Linked DNA regions of Nothobranchius furzeri. The protein of the gene in region 2 purifies or fractionates together with the protein of the main gene of each other region. This does not show direct contact. Links are inferred from orthologs where the notes say so. Each region holds a gene or a part of one and is shown on either strand. Other genes may lie near its edges.

The links.
Region 1: the proteins of trmt112 (region 2) and alkbh8 purify together in Homo sapiens (co-immunoprecipitation; 3 studies listed by IntAct, with this or other methods). This does not show direct contact. The link is inferred for Nothobranchius furzeri from reciprocal best matches to the Homo sapiens genes TRMT112 and ALKBH8.

What each region holds. Positions count from the first base shown.
Region 1 is NC_091753.1:35,511,506-35,514,327, forward strand, and holds part of alkbh8 (tRNA (carboxymethyluridine(34)-5-O)-methyltransferase alkbh8), read right to left. Parts: intron 2,704-2,822; coding exon 2,432-2,703; intron 1,712-2,431; coding exon 1,562-1,711; intron 1-1,561.
Region 2 is NC_091741.1:88,069,778-88,074,038, forward strand, and holds trmt112 (multifunctional methyltransferase subunit TRM112-like protein), read right to left. Parts: upstream 2,963-4,261; 5' UTR 2,835-2,962; coding exon 2,760-2,834; intron 2,396-2,759; coding exon 2,294-2,395; intron 2,174-2,293; coding exon 2,081-2,173; intron 420-2,080; coding exon 318-419; 3' UTR 72-317; downstream 1-71. UniProt on the Homo sapiens protein: Acts as an activator of both rRNA/tRNA and protein methyltransferases. Together with methyltransferase BUD23, methylates the N(7) position of a guanine in 18S rRNA.

The DNA.
Region 1 (2,822 bases), on a different chromosome or scaffold from region 2:
CTGCCTCCACCACGATAAAAACTTTTAAGAGGTTATTTTTCATTCAAGGTCAAATAAAGATATTAGCTTCTGGGATGAGTCGGATCCGCTACAGCCAGTGACTCCTCAAGAACCTGACCAGAAGTCCTGTTACTGCAGCATTTGTGATTCCAGTCTGCGTGGCAGCGGATCGCAGATTCAGCCACACCATAAAACAGCAATAAGTCGGTCTGAGGTAAAAGTGAACATCACGGCTATATCTTGTCCCCTATTGACATTTGATTACGCACAAGTAGGTGATCAGCTCAGGTTTATGCAGAGCAGAAGGAAGGAGAGCGCTCTGGCCGCACAGGTTAAACATTCCTACTTTAAGAAAACCGTTAAATTGCATTGTTTATGTGCTACCTGGGCACTCTAGATATTTATTTAAAATGAAATCAAAGGAAATTGTAATGGTGTCAAATGTTTATTATTTACTATTTAAAAAATGAAAGTGATGGGGAATTTTTTTAATGCTGTCTGTTTAGCTTGACATCTGATTATATACATATATATATATATATATATATATATATATATATATATATATATATATATATATATATAGAGCCATGCCCCGATGTGGGGGGGTGCGTCGACATGGTCGGGACATAGAAGGGGGTGCGCGGCTAAACAAGTTTGGGAACCACTGCTCTAGAAAGCTGCAGAAGGCAGAAACGGGACACAATTCTGACTTATTAAACTATTTAAACAACAAAAGTTATTTGTTCCATTTTGCAAGTGAAATCATAATACGACTTTATTGTTTTTAGCCTTTTGACAGCGTTCACAAACAGACTAACGAAGTTTAAATCCTCTTATTGATGATATCGGTTAAAGGTGTGGATTACTAGTTTTACACATACATCTGCAATGGTCTCTAGCAGGAATGAATGCCTTGCAGGTAAAGCTCAGGGCACACATAAGCCCACAAAGCCCTGGTCCAGCAGGACCAGTGTGCAACATCAGAGCTGTACTTCAAACGAGAGGATTTTGATTGGAGGATTTTGATTGGAGGATTTTGAAGTCTTATTTCCTGATATTTAGACATCTTGCCTCGGATTGGATAAAAGCAAGGCGACTCTACCACTAACTCTGGTTGCTCTGGGACATGGATGTTTTATCTCCACAAATAACAAGCCTGGAGGAGCTTCAGCTGTGTGTTTGAGTTGATAATGCTAGCAGTTAGCTTCTTTTGAAAGAAATGTTCTCTGCTGATTTTGGATGCTAAAACAACAACAGCGTTGCCATCATGAGTCAATATGGTTAAGTACATGAATGTTGAGCGACGGTGTGACGTAGATCTGTCAGGTTTTTCAAACGCCAGAGTTTCACCGTCTATTTTCTTATCAGAAGGTAATGCAAGAGATAGGTGTAGGAGACTATTTTAATGGTCAGTCTGCATTAGAGTAACTGATTATATTTTTAAAACTTATCATTTAAAAAAGGTTTTCCAGTCAACCACACCTTTAATAAATACTTTTTTAGACTTCATTTAAAATCCATCCAGAGGCTCATGAGATGTTTTATGTATTGTGCATACCTGGGTGGAGAAATGGTGTATGACTGCTATAGAGATGCAAGCGTCACAGGAGGCTGTTCGGAGGGGGACGCTGAGAGCATCCGATACAAATGCATGGAAGCCCCTGTCTGCACAGATCTGGACAAGAGCGCCGCTGCGATCACATCCCACCTGAGATCACACAAACACACGGTCAGCAGATGGATGCTGAGCATCAAAATGTGTCTGGCTAAAACATGGATGGTTGGAGAGGAAGAATAAATACGAGTTAAGCTTTATAGGATGTCTTCCTGAAGTTATTTTCAACACACATTTAAATTTTAATTAAACCTGGAAGTGTTAAGAGAATTAAATTGCAGAGGAGGTGTGGGGACGGGATCCAGAGCATGAAGAGGATTAAAGAGCAGAAAAATAGGAACAAAGGTGAAGAGGAGACTGGAGGGGGGGGATGATTTATAACAGGGACGGTCTGAGTCAGGATAAGCTGCTTACACGCTTCTCCAAAATCCCAAACGTGAACATCACCGTGTGCATACGTAATCAGAAAATTAGGATATTACCATGGAAACAAAGCTAATGCAAACAATGACATACAGCAGGAGAACATCGGTCTCACTCGCTACTGACAAACTGATCCGTTTTGTTTTTGTTCTGTGGCTCCAGAGCAGCTACCGTCTGACTCACGTGGAACACAACCATGCACAAGTGTGAAATGATGCAAGCATTACACGACTCTGGAGCGCCCCAACTAATATTTTATTTATGACGAGCTAAGCTGCAGCTCTGGATACATCTTTTCCTTCCACTCGTTTGCTCAGAAAAAACAAATCCCAACATTTAAATGAACATTCTGGTGAAACTACCGGTCACTGGGGTATCTCAGACACTCACTGCGACCAGCTCAGGGTTCACGCCCAGGTACTTCCCGTTTCCACAGCCCACGTCGGCCAGCACACTCCCGGGTGCCAGCAAATTCAGGAATTGGCAAACGTGAGGCCAGGGAGAGTGGCGGGTGCTGCTGAAGTGGGAGGCTATGGCGTCGTACACCCGGTGCACATACTCCTCCTCCAAAAGGGCTGCGTCGGCACGACAACAGGGAAGTGACGGGGGAGATGCTGGAGAGGGTGAGGTTGTTCTCTGACTGTCGCAGGCAGAAGGGAAGGCTAGAGGTGGCGACATCAGGGCAGGAAATAAGATCTTTAGCAGCTTTACTATTTTTAAAACTTGACACAACTTTTTGCATATAAGTAAGAATCATAGCATCTGAAGCTGCCCTCACACC
Region 2 (4,261 bases):
AGCATGTCTCTCTGGGATTTCAGCACGTCTTTAATAGAAGTCAATCCATATTTTCCACTAAAACCAGATTATTTTGGCTGTTAGAAAACTCTGAACCTTTTATTGAGAAAAAAACCAACAAAAATAAATACAAATAAAACCATGAGGGGGTTACTCTCAAGGAACCCGTCATTCTTCAAATCCTTTCCATCCACTGACAACGCGAGCCACTTAAAATGTAATAATCATGTGAAAATTGTAGCCCATTTTTCCTGAAAACAAATCAGAGTCCATCCCCTCGCTGAGAAGAGTTAGTGAGCAGGAGCTGATGATGCAGGCTAGACCTCGTCTTCATTCAGCAGCATGTTGGGGATTCCTCTGGAGATGGGGAACTCTCGCCCCGATTCAGGACACTGCAGACACCCCTCAATCACCTCCACCTGCAACAGACGGAAAGACACACAACATGAAAAAACGAACACCCACAATATGATTAGAATTGTCCTCGTATGTTAGGGTTATAGTGCTAGTTCCGGCTGAGCTGAAACCATAAAAGAGACTAAAACAAAAGTTTAGCCACCTCAGATCCCAGTGGGTGGGTTTACAGCTTCTTTCCTAACATAATGCAACCACATTAAAAGACTACAAGCAGGGATGTAAAAGTCTCCAGCAGGTTACACATTTAGAAAGTTTTTCCTGTCGAGCAGTGATCCCCAACTCCCTTTCCCGAGGGCCGGTATCCAGCATGTTTTAGTTGTTTCCCTAATCCAGAACATTTGATTCACCAATTCAGCAGCTCATCAGGCTCTGCAGAAACCCGTTAATCACCTGCTGATTAAAACCAGGTGTGTTGAAGCAGGGAAACAGTAAAACGTGCTGGACGCCGACCCTCGGGTAAGGGAGTTGGGGACAGCTGCTATAGAGTTTAATCTAGATACTAATATGTATTGCTTTTCGGTGCACGTTTGAGGGATGTTGGTTGGTTTGGGTCATTCTGATCCCTGAAAAAGACCAGGGGCCTCATTAATAAAGTTTGCCTACGGACAAAGCGGGGGTCTGAAAACTGCGTGTTTCCACAAAAACTTTGTGATTTATGAAGAAACACTTGATGGAAATATGTGACAACTTTAAGCAAACTTTGAACCAAGAGCATTTTAGAAATGGGGAAGCCATGGCAGCGGAAAAATGTTTAATTTAGGACACATTTACAGATTTGGAGATCAAAGCGGCTTTCCTCCAAGCCTCTACCAGGAATTGAAGCTTTTCAGCTTATAGCAGCAGGAGCAGGAGATGGGTGGGTATCGCCAGCACCTTAAAAAGACTCTGACCCTGAAACGGCTCATTCTGGAAGGTACTGAAACTGCCAAAATTAAAACTGCTGAAATTGCTTTATGTTAGAGGAATGTAGTGAAATGAACTTCATAAACATGCTTTGTATCAACTATTGAACTATTATAACTTAAGAAAAATATAAGTCCCCTTTAAGGCTAATTTTTGTGTTGCACTAATCTGTGTTAATGTGGTTTTACATGCCATCATCCTGTTGGTCATGTTAATGTGGTTTTACATGCCATCATCCTGTTGGTCACACAGGAAGTCATCTGTGAAACAATGGAACCACATTGTGGAAAACAAAGTGTTTACAACTTTGCAGTACAAGAGAAAACTTCTGCAGCCAAAACCTCTAAGAAAATCCCTCCAGTTATAACGCACCAAGATCATAATTAGAGTAAAAGTGTGTCTGTGTAATGTTTTGCAGAGGATATAGTTTAAAGTGAGCTAGAAAAGTATAAAACTTCTTCAGTCCCAACGGTAGACCTCCACATAACGCCATCCTGAGCCAAACGGATGCGCTGAAGTCATGGAATTCATTAGAGGATAAAAATGGAGCTCTGCTGAGATTTCTGCAGCCAGTAACACAAAAGCACCATTGAGTCCAAAATTAAGTGTGACTGAATACACACAACCAGACTCCAACAGTTTGTTTAAGAGTACTTTATGGCTGTATCGCTTTGTCAATACTAAAGAGAAAAACAGGTTCTGCAACTGAAATGTTTTTAAATGTGGGTGACAGGAACGAGGAGGTCAGTGAGACCTTTACCTCCAACAGAGCTCTGTGCACTTTCTTCAGGAAGTCCTCATTTTTCTCGTAGTCTGGCACCAGCTCACTCGGTAGATCTTGTCGATGACCCAACTATGAAGAGGAAGAAAACCAAATGTATGATAAATCTGTGTAGTATTAAATGTCTGCATGCATACAGCTGCAGGTGGAGGCTCTCCGTGGGTTAGCTTAAGGAGAAACCTGTTTACTCACCAGATCTGCAGCCTCGACCAGAGCACTCCACTCCAGTTTGGGGATCATCCTGCAGACAAACTGAGGGTTGAAGTCTACATCGTTCACCTTCACCTCGGTGGCCTGAACAAACAGCATTAGGAGAAAACACAGGCTGTCAGGTGGACTCTGCTGTCACATCAGGCAACCACTGACATCAACTCAACCGGCAATTGAAAGTAAACAAAACCCTTAATTTGCTTTAATTTCATGTAAAGTATGTCTTCACGTACTTTCTAGGATTTACGTGCAAGCTTATGCAGTCATGACACAAATTTACCTCCTGGATGTTTTAACAGAAAACATTTTAACTCAGTAATGTTTGTTTACACGAAGAAGAGATATCTACAAATGTATTTCATTGTTTTTAGAAGAAGACAGGCCTGGGTATCACGGTGAAACTCGTGTTAGCATTAGCCGCTATGCTACTCAGATGTTCACCGTTTACCTTTATGAGCAGCGGGTATCCTTTCGTGACTCCCTTTACGTGAGACGTCAGCATGTTGTGTGTGAGCAGCTTCATGATCGCAGATGTGTTTAATCAAGATTATATTAGAAACACTCAGAATAATAATGTATTATTTGCAGATAAATCACGCTGTACTGTTTTACATGTGGGCCGGAAGTACTGCTGAAGCACCACATAAAAGATCCCTGAAGACAACCCAATGTGCTGCTGTTGGTTCCTAGGTTGATCTACTACAAATGACACACTAGAAATCACATAGTAACTAAATATGAACTTAAACTATTGTACAATTTATGCCTTCGTATGTGTGAAGAAGTAGCCACTGTCAAAAGATTAGGTTTGAAGCATCTTAAAAGACCTTAGTAAATATAGCTCAAGAAAATGTTAATATTTTTGGTTTATTGGATGCCAAAGCTCTACAAGGATGACTTAAAATAATCCACATTTTTGTGTCGATCATCTTGTAATTATTACTAACTTAAAAGTTGATTAACTGTTTGGATGTGTAGATTGCACCAATAAGGATTTTTTGCAAGCTCCTTGAACCGTCACCTTATCGTGGTGGAGGAGTTTGTGCCCTAATGATCCTAGGAGCTATGTTGTCTGGGGCACTTTGTACCCCTCGTAGGGTCTCCCATGACAAATTGGTCTTAGGTGAAGGGTGAGACGAAGAACGGTTCAAAGGATCTTTCATGGATGAACCATCAAGGAGTCGGAGTACCCGGCCCGGAGGGTTACCGGGGTCCCACCCTGGAGCCAGGCCTGGGGTTGGGGCCATCGACATATATACTGGACAATTCATTTCCATAGACTCCAATAACACGTTTTTGAGGCTAAATGGGAGGTTGCCACCACCGCCATTTTGACCGTGTTACGGGTTCCGTCAAGCCCAGACAATTCCACAAAAGGGAAGAGAGGTGGAGCTGAGGGTGTGGCTGTAAGGCTGGGCTCAACTAACGACACTCGGTCGAACTAGCTACAAGCTAACCTGAAACTAACCCAAAGCTAACGTGGAGGTGGGTGCTAAGCTAACAGAGGTAGCAACCTAGCTACAACCGGAGTTAACTGTGCACAACACCAGAGCTTCTGAGTCAGAGATACGCTGATCTGACCGCTGGGTAAAACCGGGTGGAACACAGAGGTGTCCCGAAAGCTGCTGAAAGCTTTGAACCAGAGGTTCGGGGAGCTGTCAGGCTGAAGAAGGAGACCTACAGAACGTGGTTGGTCTGTGGGTCTCCAAGCCAAGCGGGGTGCAGCAGTGGCAGTTGCCGAGGCAAAATCTCGGGCGTGGGAGGAGTTTGGTGAGGCCATGGACAAAGACTATCGATCGGCTCCAAAGTGGTTCTGGCAAACTGTCAGGCGCCAGGGGGTTCACACTCCTCAGCCTCCCTGGAAAGGTCTACTCCAAGGTACTAGAGAGGAGGGTCCGATCGATAGTTGAATCTCAGATTCAGGAGGAGCAATGTGGTTTTCGTCCTAGC